4 linked regions of the Lepisosteus oculatus genome follow. The protein of the gene in region 4 interacts with the protein of the main gene of each other region in a biochemical or structural test. Links are inferred from orthologs where the notes say so. Each region holds a gene or a part of one and is shown on either strand. Other genes may lie near its edges.

Region 1 (7,785 bases), on a different chromosome or scaffold from region 4:
ATCAATTAGCCACTAACTACCAACGTCTAATCTATAACCTGTCTTGTGTCCTTGGGTTCACATAACTGTTCGAAACTGAGGTATCATGTGAGCACATTAATAGTCATCAGGAAACAGGGGGGAGGCTGACCAGTCCATTGGAGATCACCCCTTACAATACAAGTATCCAGCAACCGGTATAGCAGCTTAAAGATTTATCCATCCAGCTTCAAACCACTCCATCCAGTTCAAGGTCACGGGGAACAGGAGCCCATCAATGCGAACAGCAGGCGCAAGGCGCAGTACACCCTGGACGGGACGCCAGTCCATCGCCAGGCACACGCACACACTCACACCAGGGCCAATTTTCCCAGAAGCCAAATAATCTACCACTATGTCTCTGGCCCGTGGAGGAAACTGAAACACTAGGTGGAAACCTACGCAGACACACAGGCAGAAACATACAAACACTATGCAAAACTACAATTATGGATAGTGAACCTAACAGGGCAAAAAGAGCACCTCCATATTAAAAGGTGGAACTCAAAACTGCACAAGTGGCACAAGCAAAGTCCAAGGTAACTAGCATTTCTAAACCTGGCCATCACCAACTGAGCAGGTTCCTAGTCCTTTCACCAGCTATGTCATCATTATTAAATCGCAGGCTGTTTCTCAGTCTTCACCCTCCCCTTCCAATAGCAGTTAGTACCTGGGGTCTCGCCATTCTCTCTGAGGCTGGGGAGGCAACCTAACAATGCAGGAGGGGCACCAACACAGCTCTGGGGGACTTGATGTAAAACGGATAAAAACGACCAATGGAACAAAGCCATTATGAAGTCATGCAGTCAAAAGGCACGCATTCAGACACGCTCATCCCATACAAACACCACAAAAAGCATGCAATGAAACACAAAAGCTTTAAGCCCTTCGTACACGTCTGCTGTTACAATACACACTGCGGCTCCTCAGTCTGTCGGGAATGTTACGAGGGTGTTATAAAAAGCAGACACACTTTCCAAATGTGGTGGAGTTAGCTGCAAAAATGTCCGATTTCCCTTGAAATAGACCAAAGGGCCTCCAAGGACCAGACTCCCTGAAAGCCAAAAAAAAAACAAAAGACCCTAAGGGATATCTTTCCACAACACCTACAGCCATCCTGCCATTGCTCATGGAGCCCTAGTCCCACCTCTCTCTCCCCCAGACTCTCGCCTCTTTACTCCCCAAACCAGGGGTACGACTTGACATCGCTCAGATCGCCCCCTGACAGCGCTGACCATGGGTTTGAAGGGGGTAGGCTACACCCTCGCATCCCCGTTGACGCAGCATCCATTAAACCAAAGCGGGCAGCCGGCACCTGTCCGCCCAGCTCTCCATGCAAACCCGGCCTCGGGGGAGGAGGGGGGTGGCTGTCAGCACCTCTGCTTCACGCCCCGCTGCCGTCCAGCCCCACGTCTACACCTCGAATCACGGGAATAAAAGTGATCTTACCTGTAGTTACAGCGAAAAGAATACATCCGGTTTACTGGGCGCAGCAGGCTGCTGCGATCCCTTTGTGCAACAGTGTCTCGCAATGCTGCCTTCACAGAGCCGCCTGGCGCACACACCGGCTGGGCATATGTAAACACAACCCAGTGTTGCAGCCAATTCACCGCTTTGCCGGTATTAAGGGGGTCGGACCTGCGCGTCACAGGCAAGACACTAGGGAGCCGGTTAACTCACCCTGCTCCCCCACCCCCCCAAAAAAAAAAAAAAAAACAGATCAAGTCCAGCGTTAATATTATCGCTCCCGAGTTCAGCGGATCAATGCATTTTCACCTCGTTTGGTACCTAACACGGCACAGGCCCACGAAACAACGGCTGTCTTTGCCGCAAACCGTTTGCCGAGAGAGCGAGAGAGAGAGAGAGAGGGGAGGGTGGGTAAAAAAACACCGACAAGAGCCAGGCCCCACGCAGACGGAATAAATGTAAAATCTTGAAAACTGCGCCCGGGGGTCGTTGTGCCTTTTTTTTTTTTCCCACTCTCCCTCCTCCCCGAAACGCAGCTGCGCCGCACACCCGGGTTAACCTATCCCACCCGTTGTCTTCTACCAAAACGGAGAGAGGGTGGGGGGGTGAGGGGAAGAAACACAAGACTCACACACACACACAACACAAAACTTGACGTTCCGGGGAGCGCAGACCGGACCTGTCAAGTTCACGAACAAAGCCCGGCGTTACTGGACTTACCGGCCCCAGCCCCCCTCGCCGGAGCACGAATGCCCCGGGACCCTGCTCTCCGGAGCAGGTATGTTTCTGGGGGCAGACGGGGGGTATGTATCTGGTTGCTATGTGGGTACCCTCACCGAACCCCCCCCCTTCCGACCTCTCTCCCGGGCCCGGGGGGCCGGGGGCGACACGGCCGGGCGAAGGATACTGCGGCGGCGGCGGCGGCGGCGCGGCGGGCGGCTGCGGGGCGGCCGGGGCTCCCGGTAACGCCACGGAGGTCGGGAGAGCCCGCAGTTGGCTCGGCGGAGACGGCCCGGTTCCGGGTCCACTTCCTGCGGCAGCGGCTGATTTCGGTACCGCTTTCGGCGGCAAACTCATCGCAAAAAAATTCAACAAAAGAAAAATAGATGTAGGCAATAATAAATATTGATACAGAGGTGTAAAAAATATATTGTACACATCTAAAAAAAAAAAGTACAGCGACAGATTTCCCCCCGGACCAGGCCCTTAATCCCTGTGCTGTACTGGGACAGTACAAAAAAAATGCCTTTTTAATGGAAAGAGTCGCTTTTATTGGGGTTTTATCTTCATGGGGACGGCGGGGGGGTTGCTTTCCCCCTCCCCGGCCGGGGCTTCCTCGATTCCGGTTCGGTTCTGCTTCCCAGAGGGATGTCGCCGGTTTTTCCTTCTTCAGTTACTTAATGTTTCTTGCTCAGTAATTGTTATTTTAAAAGTCCTTTTTCAGTGAGAAGGGAGATTTCGCTCAACATGGCGCTGCGGCCGCCTCCAGCAGTCCGGCAGGACGGACAGGTTCGGAAAACGTCGGTTGCTTCCGGAAATGCTCGGCTGCTCCCCCCCCAACGGGGGTGACGTCAACATTCGGGTATCTTCGACTCCCTTCGCCAGCGAGGTTTGGGGATTTTTAACTCCGGCTACTTACGGAAATTGTCGTTCTGGAAATCCCAATTGACAGGGTGTAAAAAGCGTGCTGTTTGTGCTCGAGAAGGTTATTTATGTACATGTATCATGCCCGTTTCACAAGTCTGATTAATAAATGCTAGAAGCCCTGTTGCCTCTGATAAGTGAAAATGATTTAAGCAGTGCTCAATAAATCAATAGCAGTTATACAACGTTGAAGAAACATTCACGATTTTACCATCCTAGAATTTGAGTGTATGGTTCAGGAACCAAAAGTATTAGCGTAAGTAGATACAAAACAACTGAAAAAGATTGATAATGCATTGAGTATGTACTCGGGAAATTATTCTTACTTTTTTTTAATCAAGGTGAATGAGGTGGCGGAATTTTCTTAAAATCCAACAGTCCTTTTGAGTGTGTAACCGTGTCCTAAATTGTCCTTTTTAAAACCAAAATAGTTAAGGATCTTAGTGACATCTAGCGTCTGTCCTGTGAAGTACCGCCCCTGCAAAGGCATTGCTTAATGTTTACTTGGATGTTCCAAATAAAGTATTACTTCCTTTTCTAAATACCTTGACTTAGTCCAATGTAAAACGCTTCATGTACATACGCGCTTTATATGCACGTATGGCGTATGATTTTTAGGATTTAAACTTTTTTTAGCAGAGAAGTGTATTTGATTTTTAAAAAATGTCCTAGTCTCATATGCCACAATCTTCCATCTATTTTAAACAGCTTTATCCAGTACAGGGTCACAAGGGAGCCAGAGTTTATCCCAGCAAGCAACGGGCACCAGGCAGGGTACCCTCATGGATGGGACACCAGTTCATCCCCAGACAGACACAAACCTGCACACACTTGCAAAAGGGTCCTTTTCCCCCTAGAACCAATTAACCTACCAGTACGTCTTTGGACTGTGAGAGGAAACCGGAGCACCTATTGTTAACATGGGAGAACATGCAAACTCCACATAGACAGGAATTTCTGGAACTAAATCCCAGCACTGCGGGAGTCTTAGTCTTTACCACAAACGAAGGTACTGGGTTACTTGCATAACGAACCATACAAATTAGATATAAGAAGACTAATATTGTGTGTTCAGGAACTGATTTGAGCTGAATATGTAATAAAACACCGCACTCTACAGAGGAAAAGGCATGGGTCACCAGAAGGTACTGTAACAGTGTGCTGTACAGAAAGCGAAAAGAACAAAAAAACACGTCAGAGAGTAATGGTTTGTAGGGCTACCTGATTGCAAGTAACTTACAGATCCAAGCAACTTATGGAGTAGTTCAAAGGCTTCTTTTTTTTTTTTAAATCAAGCCCCACAGTTTTGCAGTTGGTTCAATCACCTGTACTCCCAAGAACAATGCCTTTATTAATCCAGTTTTGCCACTGAATTTTTATGGGCGTTCCCTGCTCCTGTTTCAGTACGCCAAACAGATTCAGTGTTAAATCTGTATAGTACTTGCTTAATAATGACCCTCTCCCCTTCCAGTCATTTCACCATCAATATCGCCTATTACTCCCATCATCCCAAACAGCGCAACTGCTGTCAGACTTGAAATCAAGAACACAAATGTACTTCTTTAAAAAGGTCTTTAATTACACTTTCAAGTTGAAAGCTTAAGGCATCAGGCTTTTCTTACAATTGTAACTGTAAACAATATATAGAGAATTGTTTTGGTTTTACATCCTGTCATTCATGATGAACTCACAGTGGGGCACAGATTGTTACAGCCCAGTTCATCCCATTAGGATAAAAAACTGCTGTTTGTAAGAGCTACAGTTAAAATAGCCAGACTATAGTGTCATGCAGTGATTTAAAGAGGAGTTGTCGGAAGAGACTGGGAGAAAACATTTTTGTTATAATTCTAGACCAACAATTCTATATATATATATAACAGTGTTCAATGGAGGTTCATTCATTATACGAAATCTTAATGACAACTTTCAAAGAACAAAACCAACAACTAGACAACCATACATATTCACCAATGAAGACCTGTTTCTTGTACAATGCAAACCCCATTCAGTGATCAGAATATATTTACACAAATGTACAGAAACAACAAATAAAACAGAAATAATTTAAGAATATGGTCTGAGAACCCAGTCCACCCTTTTCTTTCACAAACCATACATTAATTTTGTGCACAAGAACAAATCAGCCCCTTTCACCGCTGTACGTTTGCGCAAGCAGGTGTGTGGACAGGGGAGGTCCTGCCCCAGGTCACTGAACAGAAATGGGTATCAGTTTCTCGGATGGCACTGGATTTCACACCCCAACACACAGGAGCAAGCAGCACAACTCATCCCCAAGCTTGGTCTCCTAGGGAATTTAAAACCGTTAGTGGATAAGGCCTGTTGAATTCATTTAAAACAATCAATTCAACAAATGATTCAATCAAGGCATTAACAGCAGAAAACCACTGAGCTCTCCAAGACCAGGACAAAGTACAACTGGCCTGGAGGCTTGAAGCTAGCAACTAGGCTGTGCAGCCCTGGTTCACAACAACCTGAAAAGCCCATGGAAAGTGTGCCCATGGAAACCGTTTTTACTATAGAGGCAGTGGTACTTGACCAATAAAACCCAGAAATAGTGGTTAATTATGTACATAAGTTCTTGATGTAATGGACGTCTGACTGTTATGTACTGACAGACCAATGGATTTTTGACAACACAAGTGAACCAACACAGTTAACCCTTTTCTGTTGCGCATTTAGTTTCTTGCATTCCATATAAAAATTACATTTAAGAGATAATTGTATTAATTCTATACAGTTCTTTTTTTCATTTATTCTGTGGTATAATCAAAGTGGTTATATTGGATTGAACAGCCTTTTCATGTGTAAAATCAATGAATAAGCTTTTTAAAGTCCATAAGATAGTACAATTTCAGCTAGTACTGTTCAAGCTCACTAATTAAACTCCATTTAACTACACCCCAAGAACAGTAGAGTGTAGTATCAACACTCTTCCGGCAGTTTTGCCTGGTACATTTGGTATGACACAGTTTAAACGCAGCACTGTTTGTAATATTTTTATCACTTCAGGTAATTATAATTCTTTTTATTTGCTTGTAGATCGAAATTAGAGGCCCTTATTGTGTCTTTAAAAAGGGTCACCCCAGTTACAAAAGCTTTGAGAACAATGCAACAGAAAAAAGTTTGTTGTAGCATTCCAGCACATACAAAATAGACTAAGTTTACTTTCTTAATAATATTCTCCTTGGTAAATGTGTGTCAGTCCTGAAAGGCTGCAGTCTGATGATTAACACATTAAGCGCTGGTAGGTTATATGTAACATTTTAATATCCGGACAGACAACACACATACAGCACTACAGTAGCTTAAATCATAGCAGCCTTCCTCACTGAACTGCAAATCAGTTCTTTTCTCTGGAAATTTCTTTTCCAGTCAGTATAAGCATCTTAGTATTGCTCAATAAACTACTAATAACAAGACACATCATGGGAGAAATAGTCTTCTCTCAACTTGCTATTTTGAACATTCCTTGCTCATTAACCTTCCATCACAGTTTTCTCATGAAACAGCTGATTATGAAGTTATTTATATATAGGTGTGTAAGACTGTTCTTCAAAATATGCAGTCATTGATGATGGAATAAACAAACTGAAAAGCAATTATGTTTAAGTATCCAAAAATTGAGCTACAATAACAGGAACTTACAACAACCATAAAAATAAATAACGTGCTTAAAAATAATCATTTCTACACAAAACCTGAATCATGAAAAGTAGAAGTTCTCCCTCTTTTTTTTTCTTATTTTCCATTTTCCAGTGTTTTGCATCTTTTCCTCTTCCCCAAAAATATTTTAACAGAGTTTCATTTTGAAGTTAGTGAAACAGCATGCTCTTCCGAAGTTAGTGGAGGTCCAGTGGGATTGTCGGAAAGGATAGCATCTCAGTGGTTTATAAATGTTGACGGCCTCCTTCTGCAACGTTCCCCATTCCCGGAGTTCCCAGTCACTCTTGTCCTGGATAGGCACGGCACTGGAAATCACCAAAGCTCACATTTACGTTGGGGGTTCATGGGGGAGTTGTGCTTGCAGTTGAAGTGCTGGGAGAATTCCCTGGAGTTGGACACGGTACCGATGACTCGAAAGCGAGAGGGACTGTGTGGGTCTGTGATCACGCCTTCGCGAGAGCTCTCAGGTGTCCGCACTGAGCACCACACCTGCAGTCGGGGAGAGAGGATACACAAGATTCACTCCTTACGTGCAGAGACAACTGCAACAAGCTCACACAACATCTCACTGTTGTGAGTCGGCTCTTTGCTTTCCTAGAAATAACAGGATGCTGATAAGATGACATACTCAAACAAATGTGTAGTAGATTGTGCACTGAGGCGTCACACAGACAAATTGGAGAACAATGATGGTACATGCCAGAAGGCACTATATCTATAGGAGTGCCGATGATTTTACAGCCTACAAACACTGTCCCCCCCACTAAACCATCCCTGCCTGGACACCAGTGTTATTTGTGCCCACTGGTACAGTATGTACAGTCAGAGATCAAATGACCAATAATTTTAGATAGATGTTTGAACAGACCAGTGCTTTAAGCATGTCAATTATTTAGCAGGCTCTACAAAGGATGCTTTTTAAAGAAATTATTTAGTGAAAAAAGCCTTCTCTCAGCTCTGATTTTGGAAAAC
Region 2 (7,204 bases), on a different chromosome or scaffold from region 4:
GCCTTGAATGACTGGGTGTTGTGTGATGACTGGGGAGGTGTAGTTAGAATGACTAACTGAGCACTTTATAAGACTTCATTGTTGCCTTGCTTTTTGGTTGGAAGTGGGAGACTTAAGCTGTGAATGTCTGTATCTGTTCACTGCAAAAAGCTGTGTACATGTCTAGCTGGTAACTACCTTATTGATGAATCTGCTCTGAAATGGGCTAATTACAGTGCCTCGTTGTGCCTAAATAAACTATTGCGCAGTTCATGAGTCTGTTCTTTGATCAACATTTAGCTGCCAAAACGGTTGGTGTGGCCCCATTCCCCTGTCTGTGCGACTGAGGAAACTGTTCTGCTGTTGGAGTCTGTCAGCGGTCTGTTCTCTGTATGAATTGGCGATAAAACCACACACTGACCCATCTGGCTACTGGCACTCATGTTGCAGCACTCTTACCTACCTTCCCCTCCCCACTTCCAAATGGGGCTGAGACTGCTAGTGAAGTACTATGCAGTGTTTGCTGCAGTCCACCGGAACTTGTGGGGTCCGTTGTAATGTTGGCTCATTGACCGCTTTAATCTGCACTGGTTTCTGAGGGCTTCTGTCACCATGCCCGTGCTTATGACCTGCTGAAGGAGAGGTCCGCTGTTGGTGGCTACAAAGGAGTTCAGGCATGTGACCTCTTGATAAACTGCAGACTACCTGTAAGTCTCCTGGAAGCCCATGAGAGAGAGTGAGGGTTACAGCTCCTTGTCCTGGAGGTCCTTGTTTTTGATGTCTTCAAGTTGACTGATTTCAGTGAGTGGCTGTCCAATCTCTACTGGGCACCAGACTCCTCATTTGTCTTTCAATTACAACAATGGCAAAAGTGGCCTTTGCTTTACAGATCAAGCGTAAAGTAACTTTGAGCTGTATTTTAACACATGGAACATGCTAGATCGGTAGTTTTAGTGCTTAGCATTGCTGCCTTGCAACCCTGGGTTCAGTTCCTGCGCTGGGGTGCTGCTGTATCTGTGTGGAGTTTGTCCACAGGGGCTCTCTCCAGCTGCTCCTGTTTCCTCAAAGATGCACTTGCCCTAGTGTGTGTCCGCCCTGCGGTGGACTAGTGTCCCACCCAGGGTGGATCCTGCCTTGAGCCTGTGACTTGCCTAGAGAGGTTCTGACTCTCCCACAACCCTGAGTTGAATGAAGCACTGGGGGGGAGGAATGGGTAGATGGGTGTTCAATAAGTGAAAATGAGGTAAAATTCCCATTGCAGTGCCTGGGAGTTCCTTCCCCTGTGGAAGGTGTGAAACCAGGCCTGAGTCTTGGGTGAGGGAGGTTTGCCATGGTGTTGGCTTTCCTGGAGGTTTCGAAGGCCGTTAATGAGCCAGGGAATGTTGCTAGCTGGGATAGAGTGGCAGGATGGGTCACTGCCATTAGGAAGGAGGGGTGATGTAGTGCAGGAGATGAAACCTATCAGGGGCAGATGGGTTTATAAGTGTATTGTAGTCTGAGAAGGTGACTTCTTGGGGTGATACAACTGCTACATTTTTTCACCCGTCGGAAGTACCGTTTACCCAGTTGCCCCGGTCAGCACAGCAGTGCGACGTGGCCCAGAGGACGTGCCCGTGTCCTCGGAGCAGCGGGGTTTGTGTTGAGCTATCGGCTCCTAAGGAGAAGGCTCAGGTACCGCAGGCATTGTCCTCCAGAAAGGACACTTGAGCAACTGACAAAAAACTGTAAAAGCAGAATACAACAAGAAGACGCAGAACTTGTTTTTTTACGACTTGTGCTTCAGGGCAATTCAGGCCATGTGATTTCTGGTGTACGTCGTCCATGAGTCCATCGTACAAAAGGTGGAGGAACTCCCTCCTTGGGTTTTGGGCCAGATATGTGGTCTTGTGCCACTGTGGCTGCTGTGCCAGTGTACACAGCTTTGTAACAGAATGAGTTTAAAAAAGATGGACTACACAGAGGGGAGGGAAAACCTTTGGAGTGAATGAAAGGTGACAGTACAGGTTTTCACTGTGCTGCGTGGCCTGTTTTATTGAGAACCGAGGAATTTCAGGTCATCCAGCGGATGGTGAGCAATTGTAGTGTTAGTTTCCACTAGAGGGTGCAAATGTCACTGAAGGAAAACTAACGGGGGACGGAGGTTCTCTGCACAAATGAATGAATAATAATTCCTTACACTTATATAGCTCTTCTCTGGACGCTCCACTCAAAGCGCTTTACAGGTAAAGGGGATCCCCTCCACCACCACCAGTGTGCAGCCCCACCTGGATGATGTGCCAGCAGCCAGAGTGCACCAGTACACTCCCCACACACCAGCTCTCAGTGGGGAGGAGAGCAGAGTGATGAAGCCAGTTCAGAGATGGGGATTATTAGGAGGTCATGATTGGTAAAGGCCAGTGGGGGGGGGGGATTTGGCCAGGACACTAGGATAACACCCCTACTCTTTTCAATAAACGCCCTGGCATTTTTAATGACCATGGAGAGTCAGAACCTCAGTTGTATGTCTCATCCGAAGGACGGTGCCTTTTTACAGTATAGTGTCTCCGTCATTATAGCGGGGCATTAGACTCACAGACTGCAGGGTGAGCGCCTCCTACTGGCCCCACTAACACCTCTTCCAGCTTCAACAGGAGGTCTCCCATCCAGGTACTGACCAGGCTCACACCTGCTGATCTGCTAAGAGTGGACATCAAAGTGGAAAGAGATAGATCCTGCTTTTTATTGATTCTTTATAGTCATCCTCCCAACTTGAGGAGCTCATTGGTCGTTTGTCTGAACCAGGATGCTGCTGAATGTTCACCTGGGAGACACACAGAGGCCTCACTGCACCAGCAGCCCCTCCTGGGAGACACACAGCGGCCATTCTGCACCAGCAGCCCCACCTGGGAGACACACAACGGCCATTCTGCACCAGCAGCCCCTCCCGGGAGACACACAGCGGCCATTCTGCACCAGCAGCCCCAGATCAGAAGTGTGAAATTACAAGGAAGACTGAATTAAGGGCAAACCTGTGAATGACAGAAAAGTAAACAACAAACCAATCAGTAAATCAAAAGTCTTCTGCAGATTATGAAAACATGAAACAGTGTCGACAGCTTTGTAGTTGATAAAAGGTGGGGTTCCCAGGGGTCACTGGTGTCCCAGACATTCTACAGGTACTTTTAAAACGAGCAATTTATAAAAACCAGGTCATATGACTTAACGCCCAGATTATGAGTTCAATGAACTGATGAACAGAGGCGAAATGACATCCAGTCATGGGATGAACTGTCTGGAAGATGCCCAGGTTAAAGAACAGACCCCTTGTAGTTCCCCAGGCCGAAGGAACAGAGCCCTTTCAGACCTGAGCAGGGAAGATTACGAGGGGATCTGATTCAAGAATTCAGAATCCTCAATGGCACTGACAAACACAGCCAAGCAGATTTCTTCAGAAGGAGCTGTGAAACGGGGGGCCAGAGGACAGAAGTGAGAACTGCAGAAGTGCATTTAAAACAGGGAGACAGAAGGTACTTCTTTACATAAAGGGTGGTGGGAGTGTGGAACAAGCTAAAGGCTACCCAGCCACATTGTTAAGGCTGATGCCCTGTTTTCTTTCAAGTACCAGCTGGAGGAGATCCTGTGATCAATTGGCTACCACCTTCCAAACAGGTTAGATGGGCCAAATAGCCTCTTCTCGTAACCCCGGCGTCATGGCCAAATTTCCCATTGTACTTTCACAATCACTGACTCCTAGTGATCCCCATCTCTGAACTGGCTTCATCACTCTGCTCTCCTCCCCACTGAGAGCTGGTGTGTGGGGAGCGGAGTGGCTCATCATCCAGGTGGGGCTGCACACTGGTGGTGGTGGAGGGGATCCCCATGACCTGTAAAGAGCTTTGAGTGGAGTGTCCAGGAAAGCGCTATATAAGTGTAAGCAATTATAATATTATTATTCCCGTTTATAACGGTTCCTACTTTTAATAAAACGTCATCTTGGCAGTTGGAACTTGTTTTTGGACTCTTTTCGTTTTGTCTTTCTTACTCGTGCTGTAGATTTAGCACACATCAGGGTTACAGAGTACCTGAAACATCACGAACGAACTGCAAAAGGCGCAGAACGCAGACGGGGGCAGGACCGAAACCCACTTGCCGTAAAGCCCGGCGCGCTTGCCGTACGATATGTCTGCCCCCAGGAGCAGGCCCAGCCCACCGCCAGCCGTAAAAAAGGTTGCCTTTTCTTCGCGTTTGCGACTGCCGCCTGCTGATTACCGGTAGGATGGGGCAGGGCTGTGTCACAGACACTGGCTGAGTGTGCTGAACGCCGACGATAATTGTTGCGAGGACCGTTTTCCGCCGCGGCTCGGAAGGAGAAAGCCAGATGGATCCGAATCGGATTATCCAGGCGCTGAAAGGGACGATAGATCCGAGCCTGCGGGTGGCCGCGGAGAATGAGCTCAATCAGGTGAGTTATTTCGCAGATCAACTTTCCTGTTGCTGCAGCCGGGCGGCGGCAGGTTCCCAGTCAGGGTACTGGGTCCCGTCCGAGCGAGGAGGCGCTGCAGGCCTGGTGGCGTGGCACCGCGGTCCAAGCAGCGGGCCCGGGCCCGGGTTCGGTCCGGCTCGGCTCGGCTCGGTCCGGTCCGGTCCGGTCCGGGCCTGGACGGGACCGGCGGCAGCCGGGGTCCACCCAGGGTCCCACCGGCCAGAGCAGTTTGATGGCGGCGAGTGAGCTGCAGGGATCCCCCGGCCACAGTTTGTCAGTGTTGCCCCGCAGGGGTAACGGGGTAGTTTGAGCCTTAAGGGGACCCCCTTGGGTTTCATACTCGCCCCGGGGCTCGGAAGGGGTGACCGACTTCTGCATTTTTCTCTGCGAGAGGTAACAAGTCGTGCACAGATCCGCAAAGAGAAGTTTTGTTGTGGCTGTGTCGGCGCCGCGGAAACAGTCACGGACGCCGGGCTCGTCGGTAACACTCTGGGAGTAATCGTTCAGTAAAAACTCTTTGTCGCTTGCGGCTTTAGAAGCAATGCCCCCCATATCGTGGAGATGCGTTGCTCGTTGACGTGATGCGATTTAAACACTTCCTTGCGAGTTACACTGAAGAGCGGCGTTGGTGTCTGTGAAGCTGCGCTAGACAGAAAGCATCTTGCATTAGTCAGTTCCCCAAGACCATCTGAACTGCCCACGGGGTGCATAAACACTCCAGTGTAGCTTCACAGAGGGTTTTTATTACACTGACTAGGATATGCACTGGATTTCAGTTAAAATAAAATGTCATTCTGACTGTGTGCGCAGTTATGCTTAAACGTATGTAGTGCGTCCCTGTGAAATATAATAGTGACCCTGTCCTGTGTCCCAAGGCTAAAAGAGCACAAGAAGCACTCTCTTCCCCGAGACCTGATTTCATATGACAAGACGAATCCCTGTTGCCACTACAGTGGCCTCGTCTGCACTCTTCACCATCTTATATCCATCGCTGTGAGCAGAGTCCTGTGCTCATTCAACCTGTTCGCAGAGACCGGGACGAAGTCTCTGTCTCTTGTTTGAACTCTATTCTAAAGCTGTAATGTCCTCTTGGTTGGTGTGGTGACGGCGTGTTGTGAATCGGGTCTGAACACTGCGTATGACCAGAATATGACCCCCGTGGCCCAGTCCGCCGTCAGGAAGCCTCGAATTCCCGGTTGGGTCTCAGGAAACTGGAGCCTGTCCTGGAAGCACAGGGCACCAGGCGGGACCGGGCCACAGCCTCGCCAGCGTGTCTTGGGAAACTGGGAGATATCCGGCATGTGGTGCTCCGCTCTCTCTAATGTGTGGTGCTGCCCCATGTGGTCTTCGTGTGTGCAGGGAGGAAGATGCATAAACGCCCGGAGTCATTTTCCACCTCATGGCGCTGTCCGGGGCTGTCTGCGATGCTCTCCCTGCTGTTTCAGCGTTTGCTCCTCCCCCTGTCCTTGTGTCACCTTGAAGTGTAACTGGTGTGGGATCTTTAGCAGCAGGAAGGGAAAAGGACCTTGATCGGACCCCTGTGGTACGCCGCAGCGTTGACCAGCCCCAGCTGTTCTCCTTGAGACGATGAGCAGTCTTCTGTTATCGACCTCATCTCCAACAATCTGCCTTAAGCCTTATGGATTCGTCAGAATCTCATCCTCTTCAGTCTTATTCCGTTCTTGTGGTTAGCTAAACAAGACTTTCCCTTTTTTTGAATCCATTGGTGTCTCTTAAGGTGCGATTATGTTATTTAAGTATTCTTCTCGTTTAGCTCTGGCTGTTGTTTCCATAATGTCGCTAAGTTAAGACCGATTTATCTGTGATTCCTGGTTAAGTTTTTTCCCTTTTTCCTTTCTACGATTTAACACTAGATTTGCAGTTCTTCGATCAGCTCCAATCCTAATTCCGAGCTGAAATATTCTAGCTAAGGGTCTTGGCGTCCCCCTTACCTGTAAAGCGCTTTGAGTGGAGTGTCCAGAAAAGCGCTATATAAGTGTAAGCAATTATTATTAATTATATTATCCTTTATTCCTTATTCCTTTTATTCCGTTAAGTACAGCTGGTTGCCCTGGACTCTGTGACCTCATTTGTCAGTTATACTCGAAGCACTCCATCTTGATGGACCTTCTGTTACACAGGGGGCATGGGATTAGCATCTACGATCATAAAAATGTGTATAAATATTAATTTAGCCCCCCGTTTGCAGTTTGGCAGTTCACTTCTGGTGCAAAAAACATTGCCCCCACGCCCGGCCTGCGCACTATGGGGTGCTGGCGCTGTGGTGAGGTGCTCGGCAGCAGCAGGACAGGGGTGCTGTTGGAGGCTCTGACTCAGTTTAATGAGATGCTGAGATTCTGAAACGGGACACCTTTCTTTGCCCAGAGGCAAACTGCAGTCGTGAATTTGCGACTTCAGTTGCAGGAACCGCTGTGTCCGGCGGTGTGGAGAGCTGTCCTGGGCCCCGAGTGAGCCGCTGGACGGGGAGGACCGCTGTGTCCGGCGGTGGGGAGAGCTGTCCTGGGCCCCGAGTGAGCCGCTGGACGGGGAGGACCGCTGTGTCTGGCGGTGGGGAGAGCTGTCCTGGGCCCCGAGTGAGCCGCTGGACGGGGAGGACCGCTGTGTCCGGCGGTGGGGAGAGCTGTCCTGGGCCCCGAGTGAGCCGCTGGACGGGGAGGACCGCTGTGTCCGGCGGTGGGGAGAGCTGTCCTGGAGCCCTGAAGTCCTCTCTGCTTGGTTTTCCCCACTTGTGTCCTCAATGGC
Region 3 (6,969 bases), on a different chromosome or scaffold from region 4:
ACCAGAAATCCCTGCTCAAATGTGTTTGTATTTAATTGATTAAGTGTGGGAAAAAATGCATTTAAACCTTGGTGTTCTTTGTGGAACTGGCAGCGTTTTATAGCGGCACGCCTGCTATGTAAGTGTCGGTGGACAATCAATATTTTGTGATAACTGAGGTCTTCTCATCCTCGGCAATCGATCTTTTTATTGAAATGTTTGTGGTTGAAAACGTTTAAGGATTTTTGTGATACACATTCCATTTAAATTATAGCTTATTTTAATGTATCTGATTCATATGTAGGACTAAATATTTTTGAAAAGTGTGCAGTTGTGTGCAGAAATGTTCTTGTGGGATTCTGTGCTGAATCCTGAGGTGTAATTGCAGTGGGAGTGGAGAGGGGATCAGAGTGCTGACAGTCTTGCTTATGGCTGTACGTGACTCGCTAATTGATGTTTATTCTGTCATTACAGGTCTGGCCTGGTACTTGGGCACCACATATTGGAAACGTGCATCTGAACCATGTTAACTAAAAAGATTGAGGCATAACGAAATTGAAATTGAGATGTTAAACTTGTAGTGTCCTAAAGTTAAAATTGGAAGGATGGACACCATTTTTGATGTGCCTAACTAAAATTTCTGTGTGGGCTGTTACTTCTATTTACCACTGTCTATGAACAAATGGATTGCCTGTACAACAGGATACATTCTCTGCTTAGTTTAGCCATTTTGACTTTAAACCCACATAAACTGTTCTTGGGCTGTTGGCTCAACAGTACTGTAAGCTATTTATATGCAGCCAAGAACTAGATGATTACATAAAGATAAATCAGACCTTTTAGAGTGGTAAATACATGTATAATTGTTTACATACTAAAAAGGGTTAAAATGAGAGTAAATTTCATGTCGTATAGTGGCTCTACTTTATGTAGCCTGTATTAATGTGAAATATTTACCTTAATATTCAATAAAAAGATGGAACTGTAACTGTTTTGCGTCTTTTTGTAATCTACACCCCGACTTCAAAGATGTCACGAAGTAGGAAACTTAACAAATCCCTAAACACTAAAGTGTACTTAAAAAGGATCTGTACAGGGTGTTTTCAGTGCGGACATGCCAGGTTTAGCCTGTCAAAGTCTTTTTAGCTGTAACCATTGGAATGCAGGTATAGACAGACCATTGTATGAGCGTTTCTCTATATGAACAAGTCACAAGTTATTTTATGAAGTCACAAGTTGTTTTTTTTCCTCTTTTTACAAGACTTATCAATTACCAGCCTGTCATCTGCATTTCAGCTTTAACCTCAGAAGTGTGCCTTTTATCCACTATCTGGATTCTGGCATTCGGGGTTGCTGTTTTGAGTTGTTAAAAACATGCACATTTCTAGAGCAGGAAAAAGTAACGCACTTCATGTGCAGATGAGACATACAGGTGCAGTTACACTGTATTCCCATAGAGGGCATCGTTTCCCAGTGAATCCCTCAATAGAGAAAGGCCTCAGCATGGAGGTAGGTGGAGGCTGTGATCTCCACAGAAGGGTGAAAGTATTTGAGTGTGGGGCTCAGAAAAGAGGGACAGTGACAGTTTAAAATTCAATAAAGGGACAAACCTTGTACCCTTTTTATGCTGGATATGCCTCTTTTGATTATCAACTTATCCAAGTGGCATACATGGTTTTTTTAAAACATTTTAACATACCATTATTGTAAATATACCATTGCGTTAATTACACTGTCTTAATATTTGATATTTTCTAGTGGTTGCAAAAAAGAACTACAAGAGCTTTAAAAGAATGCCTTGCTTTTCAATACTAGACAAATGGAAGAGTTTACCGTTTAATTAAATGCAAACTTTATTTTCCGGAGGGAAATTTGTTTTACGGCACAATCCGATACAACAACGCAACGAGGAGTACAAACATGACCAACTAAGAAGATGGTACAATAGTGATCCAGGAGATGAGTTACTAGATGCTAATTGAGTCGTATTGCAACGGGCACAAGACTTCCTGAGGTTGTTACTTCTACACTTGTGCACACAGAGGGATCTCCCTGGTGGGAGCAGATTCACAATGGAGGGGGTCTGTCTGTTACAATTCTTTTGCAAATGGATCTTTGATTTTAAGCATGAAGGACAGTCCTTCTGCAGTCATAATTCAGTGAGTCCAATAAGCAAGTTATATCCTATAAATATCTGGGATTATGCATTGGGATTACTCTTGGAAGGCACATATTCTACAAAACCAAAATTACATTTTGTGGGTTTCAGGCTTTTGGTGCCAATAGTCAGATTCTGACCAAGTTTTTCAGTTCTCTGGTACAGTGTCATGCAGTATGGAATAGCTGTATGATATAACAGCCTTTCTGTGCAACAGAAAGTGAAAATGTCCAGACTCTCGGATGTGTTCTAAGAGAATGGGGCAGCCACTTCAGCAGAGTGTGTAGCAACTAGCTGTGAGGATCTCCCCTGATCCCTCACATCTTCTGCAAGAAGATGATGAACTCATGCCTTGAGACACAGATCCCTCAGTGTGGCCTTTAACAAAATGAATTATTTTAGCTCATAATGAAACTCCTAGTCCACGGCAGCACCATCAGTGGGTTATGTGCCAAGGGGGGTGTGTAACTATGGCTCAGTGCAATTGTACGGGTTTATTTACTGGTTCTGGTATAGTTGTGTGGACTGATGAATTTTTATGCGTGTCATGAATAACTAGAAGTAACCGTCTGTTATGTTTGTTAATATTTACTTGAACTGTTTGTGTTTGGTAAATTTCGGTGTAAAACAAAGTGCTGCTTTGATGCAAGACAAAGTTCTGAGAAATCGCACAATGAAGTCTTATAGTAAACAGCGTGTTCTCGTTCGCCTGTTGCTGTGGGGGGGCTAAGATACAGTTCAAATGACCCCCGTGAGAACATGTCTCGCCAGCTCACCTGTCCAAACAGAGCCTGTGGGAATCGCCTGTCTGTTTTCGTGTGGCGCTGCTCTGAGCCACCGTCCTCATCTAGAAAGGAGGAATATTCCGACACAGCGCAGGAGCGAGTACTGCTGCGTGTTCGCGCACACGCGTGTTTGCACGGCCTGCCCTCTCGGGTGGACACAGTGACCCCGACCCCTCAGGGCGAACGATATCCTCCCACTCGGAGAGGGACACGCGTGGGGAAACGCATACGGCAGCCCTGGTTCACATTAGGACTAAAACGTGAAGTGGGGGGGTATAAATATGTCGATTGAACTTTGTCATTATACTGACACAGGTGCTTAGTATGATGGAAAGTGTTCCTCATCTGTCTCTCGGGCGCAGTATATATATATACAGAACAGCAGACGGGACAATAGACAGTAAATACAATAATAACAATGTAAACAACGAGTATGGTACCAGTGTGACACCACCCGCATCAGTAGACAAACAGTGCAAGATAATACAGCGATGATCAAGCGGTACAACTCGAGTAGTTTTATGTTCGAGTTCGGCTTGCGGTCGGTTGTCGCCGGTGTGGTGTGTGTGGGTCTGTAGGAGTGCAGTCGCTGTGCGGTACAGGACGGGTGAGCAGAGGTCACCGGCCTGACGGCTCTGGGGAAGAAGCTGTTTCGGAGTCTTGTTGTGCGCTACCAGATGGTAGGGGGACGAACGCCGTGAGTGGGGTGAGTGGGCTCAGTCGTGATTCTGGTGGCCCTTTTTCATTCGAGCAGGAAGCGACCGTTGCACGGCGGGGCTCCGCCGACACCCGCCGAGCTCAAGCCGACGCGGAGTCGCTGGGCCGCCGTGAACTTAACGCTGGGCTGCGACACCCGCCCTGTGCTGATAAAGAGGTTTCGCGATGGGCCGGGGCGGGGATATCCGCCTTTGCCACGGCCGTGGCAATACTTGGGCGGCGTTGCAGGACCCGGGGGAGGGGGCTCAGCGCGCGGGTGTAATCCAACCCGCCGCCACGCGTGATCTTGTTGATGTGCCGTCACGTGAGCCGTGTCACGTCCGCCTTTAAAGCGGTTTGCAAATAGACGCGCACATGGTCCCTGCGGAGCCGAGCTGCTGGGGAGAAGTCTTTTCGGCGCAGCGTATACTTGTGGGAGGGGGGGTGTTTAGTTTTTTTAAATTTATTAAGGCGACCCTCGCTGGTTGGTTTTATCATTGAGAAGGAAAAAAAAAAGAGCAGCACAAGAAGCACAAGCACAATGTCTGCCAACTGCCAGAAGTCCAAGAGCTGCCCGATCCCCACCAGGGTGATGCATCTGAAGGACTGGTCCCAGCTCCCGGACTGCTACAGCCAGACGCCCGGCGGGACGCTCTTCTCCACCACCCCGGGAGGTAGGCCGAGGGCCGCGGCGTGCGAGTCCGCTTATGGCTGTACTCAACTTTGTTTTAAAGTGTTGTTTCTCTCCTTTTTTTTTCTTCTTTTTTTTACATATAACCATCGGCGCGATGAAACTGTTCGAACCAAAACAGTGAGCGTCTTCATTTAAAAAAAAGGGGGATTTTCTTTAATTAAAAAAACTGCCTGTTGGCGACCCTTATAAACGTCTGTAACTTTGGGGGAGGGGGTGTTCTTTGACTTGCCGTCCCGCTGAAGATCGCTGTTTTTCTGGTAAAGCATTGCGAAACGGCGCTTATCCGTCGTGTTCTCGGGGGTGCGGGGTGTTTAGAGCCTTACCGGCCGCACACCGGGCTGCGACGGGCACCTTTCTCCCAGGTTGATCGGGATCAGCTGCTCGGATGGTCGGGACGGACGCCGTGGCTCCTTTAAAACAGCGTCTGCCAGTGAGGAGACCGGGGCGGGCGGAAGACGAGCTGCAGCATTTCTCCTGCCACGGCTGGGTTTGCGCCTGTGCGCTTTGATTTTAACGCGTCCTGTGGGGTTTTCCACGCGTGTTTGTGCAGAAACACGCAGCGCGTCTCGCAGGTCGCCGCGCTCGGTACCATTCGTCTCCAGGTGGAGCAGGAGGTATCAGCCCAGCCTGAGCACCAGGCAGAAACCCTTCAACAACACGCTGTAGTGCTTTACACGGTGCGCCTTTTCTGGAAGTGTTAAAGGGCTTTGTTGTTTCTCCATGGAGCACAGGACACCCGAAACCCACGGGATAGGTGCTCGTTTGGAGACTCGGAATATCCCCGGTTGACTCGCGCGGGGTGGGGGTGTAAGCGAAGCGGTCACTCGCACCTCGGCTACATGAGGGCCGAGCGCCTGCAGTGTCAAATTTCACATCTCGGTCTGGGATGAGAGCTCTCGGCACGGTTTGTCCTCACGAGTTCAGTTCACGTCTATATACCTTTCTAGCCTCTCTCGAGACCCGATCAGAAATGGAAGCCCGCTGGAATTCAGACCAGTTCTCCCAGTTCTGGTCACTAGCTCGGCGGAGCTCCTGAGGCACTGTCGCCGGACCTGCAGAGCGGTTGGCCTCCAGCTCTTGCCTTGTAACGCTGACCCTCCCTCCACAGGGGCTTAAAACCCGGCCTTTCCTCCCGGCTGAAATGAAGACGACCTAATTACAGCAGGAGCTGAAACCTGTTCCCCATGCTGGGAGAGTCCTCTCCTTGCAGCCGGACACTGATCTCAGCTGCAGGGCTCGGGGGTGGGGCACTGGTGTATTCCTGCGCTCCGGTCAATGGGACGCCGGGTGAAAGTGTGTCTTTTTACTACGGGGCTTTTCCTGTGCTGGGTCTGTGGACTTGTCCGGGTCGGACCCAGCAGAGCCGCTCGCTCGAGAGGAGGAGCTGGGGAATTATCGGCAGCCCCTCGCCTCCTCGCGCCTCGCAGCTGGGGCTCTGGTGTCTGCCTCGCTCTGGAGGACAGCCGGCGCTTGGCGTCTGTGCCCTGCTGTCCAGCCCCTGCCAGCTGCGCGGCGAGAATGCGGGCTGTGACTTATCCCTGAACTGTCCCAGCAGTTGTGTGTCCTGGATCTCTTCCCGGTGAGTCCTGCCCCAGGGCTGGACTGCTCTGGGGGAACGGCAGCTCCTCATGTGTTGTAACTGTCGTTCCGAGCTGCTCTGAAAGGCTGCCCGCTGTGTTCAAGCCCTCTGCCCCTGAGAAACTGGCCGTGGTCTCGCCTGTGCGGAGGGGGGAGTACTGGGGGCCTGTAGTACTTGTAATGGCTGCCTTAAGCCAGCTGCAGTCCCTTGTGGAGCCTCCTAAACACCAGAGAGATTCCCGTTTGCGTGCCAGTTGTTCCAGAGCACACCCTGGGGTGCAACAATATAACTCATCTTACTGGGGCTACAGACCGCTGGCGCGAGGTGGGAAGGTGCTCTGGTCTTGGTCTTGCTTGGACGAGCCCTGGGTGCCTGGCTGGTCCTGTACCTGCGCCGCGCCGCGATGGGCAGCGCCCTGCTGGCTCGCCGGGGCTGAGCAGGCGCGACGGCCGATTCGGACTTGCCTGGTGCACAGGCCAGTTCTCACACGGGATTTAAAAGCGGCTCAAGAACGCGACTGTGACTGTTCAGTCTTCGCTTGAACAGGCCCCACAGGGGCTGGGCGACGTGCTGTTTTCCTCCAGGAGCTGCGCTGCTCACCCACCCCGCCTGGGCCCCAGAGTGAGGCCTGGTCTGGCTGGGGACCCGCCCATTCCAGGCAGCTGCAGAAATAGCTGAGGACACGCTGTCCCGGCCAAGAGCAGCGCAGCGCCGCGCCAGGGCGGGGGAAGGCTCTGACTTCTAAGAATCTGAAAGACAAGCTGCCCCTGTTGAGGAAACTCGCTGGTCTGTGTTGCCCTGCAGCCCTGCTGCAGAGGGGTGTAGCCCCAGTAAGGGGGAACTTCAGGACGGGCTGGTCAGCCGCACCCAGCAAGCCAGGCTGTTTCTGCAGCCGCCTCTTCACAGCTGGGGTGGATAAGGTGTACGGAGAACAGAGGCAGTATGTCTGTCAGCCTGCTGGGTGACTGCAGGATCGGAGACCAGCTTCTCTCCGCCTGCCCTCCTGAGCCGTCTATGTGTGCTGTTACAGGCCAGCGCTCCTGCCCTGGTCTCGGTGAACTGCGCCAGAGTGCACCGC
Region 4 (7,331 bases):
AAAAGCAATCGCTAAATGGAAGAAAAAAAAAACTATGTTAAAAAAGCATACCTATTATTAAGCAGGAATAGAAGAGGGTATTTTATAAAACAGCCCCAGGGATCACAACTGGGTACATTCAACCTCAGAAAACCCAAGTAGTGTGAGCGCGCAATACTACTGGGCTCTCAATTGAGTCCAGCCGGTATATACAGCAAAGGAAGCTGGCGAGATCCCCCTTACCTGCGAACAGAAATAAGACCCCTGGATTCCCAGTTTGATGCAGGTTGGGCATTGCAGTTTGGCCTCGCTATTACAGCCTTCCGTCTCACATTCTCTGGTTTCATGGGCCGCCATGCTGACACTCCAGTTGCGAATGGAGAGGAGGGGCTGAGACAGAGTCACTGAGGACCTCGAGTTGGGAGGAGCAGGGAGGCGCACGGCCACCTACAACACTGCCTGACTTTCCTAAGAGCAGGGCTGTTTTCCTTGAGCTTTCATTCATCATTTACAGTGGGGGTTTTCATAATTGCAGAAGAGGGAAGTGTCAGAAATTAGAAAAAGACAAAAACCAACAGTCACTGTGTCGGTTGTTCTCAGCGGCGCCAGCGTCAACCTTGCCGGCCCAATCTCCCCTTTCATCTAGAAACTTTTGATGCATGGTTAATGATTGTTTTCTGTGTAGCGCCTTTTGATCCATCAAAGAATGTCTGAAACCTTCTTCAAAACGATGTAGCAAGAATTCTAAATCATTAAAGCAGCATGTATTTAAAGTGTTACCAAATATATACATATATATCACAATAGTGATAGTCTTAAAGCAGAGAGAAAACATCTGCAGAATACAAACATTCCCATTTTGTTAACTAAATTTATGATATCAATGAGGTATGTATTTTAAATACTGTTTTAATTTTGGACAGGAATTTATCTAGCTGAAGACTGGCAAAGGCTGATGGAGATACAGTATATAATAACTGGTTTAATTAAATGTAATGCTTAGCAATGTTATTTTGTTTTCAAAAGCAGGCACTTCTTACTTGCTTGCGTGATTTTATGGACTAACTGTATGGAGGACGGCACTTGTAGGGAACAAGTAATCAAAATGTTATTGAAGCTGATATCCTGCCTTCAATTAAGAAACTGCTGGATGTGATTTTTGGATTTATTAACTACTAACTACAAAATGAGCTAGATAAGCCAAATAACCTCCTCTCGTTTATAACCTTTAATATGATGTTCTGATTTTGGGATTATTGTTTTGGGTGGTCATCTTGCTAGCCTTCAGTATATACTGTGTATATATAGCAATCAATGTACAGTAAGTAATATACAACTATGCATTCAGTTCTAGATGCTAATAAAATGGAAATTTATCAGGTTATTTGTAGACTTTACTTCCATTACTGGAGTTAATAAACTGTCCCAATTGTAAAGGATGATAGAATGTTTTATTGAAAATTGTCATAAAGAGAATTGCTCATTTTTGTCATTAATCTTTCTTTTTTGCCATGCAACATAAAAAATAGTAACAAGCAGATGTTCCTATAGAGTCAACTTCATCAATATTTTGGCTTTATTACTTTGCTTTTTAACTCTGTATAATAAAAACTGATACATTTGTTTTTCTCTGCAGACTAATGATACATGCTCCATGCACTATTGAGCTATCATTTGTGGTAAGGGAAAGTTTTGAAGATCAAACTAAAAAAGTGTTGTTATAAATATGCCACATGGGAATTTGTAAATAGGCATTGACACACAGTTTAGATGTAGTCAAAACCCTTATTTAGCACTGTCTGGGGCCTGTTACTGTTACAATAGCAGTAGAGTGGATAAGATACACTTAGTTTAATGTCATCACAATGTATTTGTAGTATCATTATCAGTGTAGGTCTGTATTCTCTCTTTCATTAATTGGTATTTCTAATGGCAAGGATAAGTTTGTAAACTTTAGCAAATAATGATGTTGTTCAAACCTTTGTCATCATCTTAATACACTGTTATTTAACGTGCAGCTTCTCAAGGTCTGAAATGAGCTCAGTGGCTTCCTCTCTCTTTTTAACCATTGTTCTTTGGTTTTTGTAAATCTTGGCTATTATTTCAGAGTTAAGTATTGGCAGAGAACATAAATAGTTAATAGTCCAGCAACTCGGATCCCAATGACTGCTCACAAGGGATAAATAGGAAGACTTCTCTAACCCACACACCTTTTAACATAACACAGGCACCTCTGACCAGAACCAGAGGTTTATGGGAGGAGAGCGGCATCTCTTACAGACTGCACCACATGCCTGCAAGTGCCCAAGGGAGCCAGTAGAGTCTCAGCCAGCTAAAAACACTATACCCTCAGCAATGCTCAACCAGTCGTGTGCTGCTGCTTGGGGAATCTCAGTCACAAATGGCTCATAAGATGAGATAACTTGCTCTCCATGAGACACACAGGTGGGGAGAGAGAAGTTTGGGGTCAGAACACAGGGTCAGCCATTTATACAGCACCCCTGGAGCAGTTGGGGTTAAGGGCCTTGCTCAGGGGCCAAATGGGGTAGGATTCCCACTGCCAGCCACAGGATGTGAACCAGTAGCCTGTCAGCCACAGGTGCAGATCCTTAGCCACAGTGCCACCACTCTGTCCTTAACCGTAGAACTTAACCTTCAAAGCTCTATGAGGACCGCTGCAGCTCTATGAGGACCGCTGCCGTGGTAGAATTCTGACCATCACAGAGGACAGTCACCACCCTGGGCATGAGCTCTTCACCCCACTGCCCTCAGGCAAGAGATATGAGCATACGGACACTTACCACTAGATTCTTCAATAGCTTCTATCCACAAGCAGTGAGACTGGCGAACACATTTAGCCATCCCCCTCGGACCACACCTACACCATCACCATCTACCTCATTGTAATTTATTTATTGTACATCTCCAGTCATTGTTTACACGTCTGTATTGTTTACATTCAAACTGTCTGCATGTTTACTTGCACATTGTCTATTGTTTGTTTGTATATTGTCTTGATGCACTGTTTGCACTTTGTTTTGTTTTTTACACTTGTTTTACAATCGAGAGACTTTCTGTAAGTAAGAATTCCATTGTACCAGCACCGGTTACATATGGCAATAAAGTTCAAGTTCAAGTTCAAGTTCTATTGGCTGTCCTGTAGAATCCTATCTCCGTACCCTGTGATACTGTACCATGATTCTCAAATCTAGTTCTAAATGTCATCTCCTTAACTTTATATGCAATATTGGTCCTTTGTAGTGTCTTTGTCAATGACAAGTTCAATGTTAGGAAAATTCACTTAGCTATCTGTTATGTTCATATATTCTTTTATAGGACTATATCTGGGTATGACAACATTCTTTTTTTTAAAGAAGGTTCATGTTAAATTTAAGTTGCCAACACAAACTGTTCTTGTGCTTGGTGGAGTTATGTTTCATTTGGCAATTGACTTGTTTTACTAAAATTTGTTTTATATATTTTATCCATTTTTTAATCTCTTCTTCCAATTCAGGGTCACAGGGAAGCTGGAGCCAGATGGACACCAGTCCATCACAGGACACACAGACACAAGCACATGTACCAGGGCCAGTTTTTTTACGGAAGCCAATTAGCTTACCAGTATGTTTTTTGTACTGTTGGAGGAAACCAGAGCACCCAGAGGAAACCCACATGAACACGGGGAGAACATCTGAGTGGGTGCTGCACATTGGTGGTGGAGGGGAGTCCCCATTATCTGTAAAGTGCTTTGAGTAGGATGTCCAGAAAAGCGCTATATAAGTGTAAGGAATCTTCATTACTATTAACATATTGCATAACACCCCAGACAAGGAATTGAAATCAGGGTCCCAGTGATACAAGGCAGAAATGCTAACCACTGAGCCACTGTGCTGCCCAAAGTTTATACAAAATCAATAGCAACTGTCACTGGAATTCATACCTGGCCAGTGGGTTGTTATGTTTGGATAGTAGCAATTAACAAGCCCCGGTGTTCATTATTTGCTAGAAATATCACATGGCAAAGATCTGGTGGTACTATCACATTAGCTGACTGATAAGTATGTCAGGTTTGGTCTCTGAAAAAGAAGCAATTCTAGCAATAACAATAGTGCATCAGTGGTATGTGCATTGTGGTAAATTATCAATGTCCCAAGAATCACATGTATATGTTTAAACCCTGCGTGTTTTTTTTATTTATTTTTTTACTATTTTTTAAAACGTCAAGCAGAGGACAGTGAACTAGAAAAAACTTTATCCGTATCGCCCACGTTCCAGCGAAACTACAGACCCCACAACCCCCCTCGTCCCGTTGACATAGGAGCATGCGCAACAGCCATTGGCAACTCGGTTGCGTCACGTTGGACGGCTGAAGCCAATCGGCTTTTATGTTCCCACCAGAAGCCTGTGAATCAGATTGATATAAGATGGCGACCGCGGAACCGGTGAGTGAGTGTATTGCTCTGAAACATTTGTTTTAGTTGACCGAGTTCTCAGGGCGTTAGTTCACATTTTTCTACTGGTTCGGTGAGAGGGTTTCGCACGGGTTTAGTAGCGGGGTCGTCGGCGAGCCTGTGGGTCGGTTTTCGATGAGATAATGGCGCGAGTATTTGCGGGCAATGTGTGTATGTATTTACGTGCATGTAGGGTGAGCTTGAGCCATGAGCACTCAGCGGTTGTAGGAGGAGACAGCGGCAGCAACATGAGATGCGTGTGAGTCACAGCAGATCAGGGATCACCCGTGGAGTGTAGTCGGGGCCTGCTCGTCCACAGGCATCGCACGTCGCCTGTCAAGTGCATCGCATTTCCTCGAAACACGGAAAAAAAGAAAACACGGGACACGTAATATGTCCGTGGCGCTGTACAGCTGACAGTTTGAAACTGGAAATAACCCTACACACACACACAGCATACTCTTGGGCTGCGATTCCCTCCGATGACTAGTGCAGGGCATCTTGAACTTTCACTCGGCTCTGACGGTTACTTGAGAGAAGCTTTTGGCTTTAGAGACTAACTCCCCGTGTTTGCTGAACCGCCCGATGTTGACGTTTGACGTTGACAGTTTTATGTGCCTCATTACCGTAACCGTAACATTACTGTTGGGTGTCAAGCGCCTTTCCATTCATCTCGCTGTGCGCTCTTTAACTTGTCTGATTTAGATACCTTCGTGTCGAGGTAATTGCGAGCAAATTGGGTATTGAACCCTCGAGGGATTAAGGTGGTTAGTTGTATGCGGTAAGGTCCCCCCCCAACCGTTACTAGTAAAGCAGTTAACTGATCATAAGACCTGTAGCTCATTTGTTTTGCCCGAAAGAGTGCATAACAGATGTTTTGATTTAAAGAGTGACTGTTGGGTCCGTTGTAATTCACCAGTTTTCCAGCCAAAGCAAACAGGTTCGCCTGGCTTGTTCGATCCCTTCCGCTGCTCTTGAAACTGCAGATGCTGCAACTCGCCAGCGTGTTATTGTTTTGCGTTCAGATGCGAAGAAATCCCTCAGCCCCGGGCTCCTGTAGCTGGAATGTGAATGGATGATACATTTTCCATGTGTTTTCCTCCAACTGTACATTACGGAGAATGCTCCTGTCGTGTGTTGTCCAAAAAACAAAACCCAGGCGTTCCTTGAGCAGTGACGTTATGGGTGCCAAAGGAATTTTGTAACCTTTGGAATTGAATAAGGATTTAACTCCCGTTTCTTATTGGTTTGAACCATTCACTTTTTTTCCCCCTTTTTTTTTACTTTGTATAGATTTAAGCCACGTTTAAGGTATTCAACAGCTGTTTTTGGTATGAGCGCCTCCTGCATGTGAAGTCAATGACGGATCGTATAGGTTCCCAGTGCAGAGGGGTAGCTTATGACTTCACCTTTTTTATACGTTTAGACTTGGATTAATTAGCTTGGCACTGAAAATAATAAGAAAGGGCACTGTGTCATTGTCTAGGCGCTAGGTTAGGTAGATTCTCTTACTTTGACTTGTAACTTCTTGCTACCATATGAAAATGGAACAGTAACATGGGACTTTTTTTTCTTGGCTTCTACAGTCGTGAAGCTGGAATGGAAAAAGAAAATACTCCCACACGCTATTGAGCAATTATTTTCAGTCAGGAACAATTTGTAAAAGCCAACAACATAAAAAAAGCAGTATTAAGCAAGCACAAATAAAATACATAAGACAATTTAAGTACTCTTTAAGTATGCAGTGTAGCTGGCCAAAGCTCTCCAGTGTCAGCTTATTCCTGCTAGTTTGTGTGAGTTCCACTATGTTCTTGTGATATGATAGCAGAAATTGTAGTCATGCTTCTGTATATTCTGTTTCATGGTCCTAGTGTTTTTATAGATAGGCATGGGCAATAATGTGCCACCTTTCGCAAATAATATTAGAAATTGCCCTTGTTAGAAGACTGTAAATGTAATATAATAAGTAATAGGTTTATTCCATGCTGAATAAAAGAAGAAAGAGAACACAACGTTTCGGCCGTGGAGCCTACGCATGCTGACGCAGCTACCCACCGGAACTACAATGTAATATAATGTTGTGTACAGTTTATATATAGTGTACAGTTTTTTTACATGTTTTATTTTATTATTCAGTGTCAAATATTAGTATATGGTGGTTTAGTATTTAAAGCCTTTTTGGATAGAAGGAAAATCATTTTTTCCCCAATCATTGACATTACAGTTTCAGAGTTATATTGGCTACAATTGTGTTTTTTCATGTCTTTCGGAAAGTTTGAAGCTTTGTCTCCAGTTAGGCCTAGTAAGCTTGTTGCACATAGTGTTATCATATTAGCTAAAGCTCAATCAAGACTCTATTTTAAGTATGACACATAACATTCTTTGGTGGGGAAAAAAAGTGTTGTTCAGGACCTCCCAGTTGCTATAGTGCTCTTATCAATTTTTTCCACAATCTTGTTATAGATTAACTAGGCCTGTAGAGTTAATGTTGATGCTACTATGCAGTTATATTGTATGAATCAAAGAAATGTGATATGTTTGTTTTTTTATTTTACCTTCTAAGATGTTTTGGTTGTGATTCATTTTTTTTTCTGTGAGAAATGTTGCTCTTTTCCATTACCATGTCATTACCCGGTGATTACCAGGATTTACTCCAGATATCTTGATGAGTTTTTATTTCAGCAATTGAATATATTTGTCTTACACTACTGTCAGCGCTTAAAAAAAAAAAAGCAATATTAAGCAAGTCCGATTACCGGTTTTCAGCTCCTTTATCTAAATTTAGAAAAACAGCATTTTGTGATCATCTTATGTTTGGAGTGAATCTCTTTTTGCCGCTGCATTTTCCTGTGACCTTTCTTTGGATTTAATAAAAAGTGTATTTTTCTTCAAAATAATTGT

What was found.
Region 1: the proteins of eukaryotic translation initiation factor 4E-1A (region 4) and eif4g3b form a complex in vitro, tested with the Homo sapiens proteins (3 studies listed by BioGRID and IntAct, with this or other methods). The link is inferred for Lepisosteus oculatus from reciprocal best matches to the Homo sapiens genes EIF4E and EIF4G3.
Region 2: the proteins of eukaryotic translation initiation factor 4E-1A (region 4) and ipo8 form a complex in vitro, tested with the Homo sapiens proteins (2 studies listed by BioGRID and IntAct, with this or other methods). The link is inferred for Lepisosteus oculatus from reciprocal best matches to the Homo sapiens genes EIF4E and IPO8.
Region 3: the proteins of eukaryotic translation initiation factor 4E-1A (region 4) and eif4ebp3l form a complex in vitro, tested with the Homo sapiens proteins (2 studies listed by IntAct, with this or other methods). The link is inferred for Lepisosteus oculatus from reciprocal best matches to the Homo sapiens genes EIF4E and EIF4EBP3.

Annotation. Positions count from the first base shown.
Region 1 is NC_090720.1:7,334,176-7,341,960, forward strand, and holds the start of eif4g3b (eukaryotic translation initiation factor 4 gamma 3), read right to left. Parts: upstream 3,013-7,785; 5' UTR 2,563-3,012; coding exon 2,393-2,562; intron 2,300-2,392; exon of another isoform or gene 2,206-2,299; intron 2,028-2,205; exon of another isoform or gene 1,494-2,027; coding exon of another isoform or gene 1,468-1,493; intron 1-1,467. Other genes in the region: ece1 (endothelin-converting enzyme 1), read right to left, coding at 7,126-7,302. UniProt on the Homo sapiens protein: Component of the protein complex eIF4F, which is involved in the recognition of the mRNA cap, ATP-dependent unwinding of 5'-terminal secondary structure and recruitment of mRNA to the ribosome. Functional homolog of EIF4G1.
Region 2 is NC_090702.1:56,231,137-56,238,340, reverse strand, and holds the start of ipo8 (importin-8), read left to right. Parts: upstream 1-4,203; 5' UTR 4,204-4,336; coding exon 4,337-4,420; intron 4,421-7,204. UniProt on the Homo sapiens protein: Involved in nuclear protein import, either by acting as autonomous nuclear transport receptor or as an adapter-like protein in association with the importin-beta subunit KPNB1.
Region 3 is NC_090706.1:40,987,586-40,994,554, reverse strand, and holds the start of eif4ebp3l (eukaryotic translation initiation factor 4E-binding protein 3-like), read left to right. Parts: upstream 1-3,960; 5' UTR 3,961-4,159; coding exon 4,160-4,292; intron 4,293-6,969. Other genes in the region: ankhd1 (ankyrin repeat and KH domain-containing protein 1), read left to right, coding at 454-513. UniProt on the Homo sapiens protein: Repressor of translation initiation that regulates EIF4E activity by preventing its assembly into the eIF4F complex: the hypophosphorylated form competes with EIF4G1/EIF4G3 and strongly binds to EIF4E, leading to repression of translation.
Region 4 is NC_090696.1:61,844,820-61,852,150, reverse strand, and holds the start of eukaryotic translation initiation factor 4E-1A, read left to right. Parts: upstream 1-4,315; 5' UTR 4,316-4,403; coding exon 4,404-4,421; intron 4,422-7,331. Other genes in the region: metap1 (methionine aminopeptidase 1), read right to left, coding at 223-336. UniProt on the Homo sapiens protein: Acts in the cytoplasm to initiate and regulate protein synthesis and is required in the nucleus for export of a subset of mRNAs from the nucleus to the cytoplasm which promotes processes such as RNA capping, processing and splicing.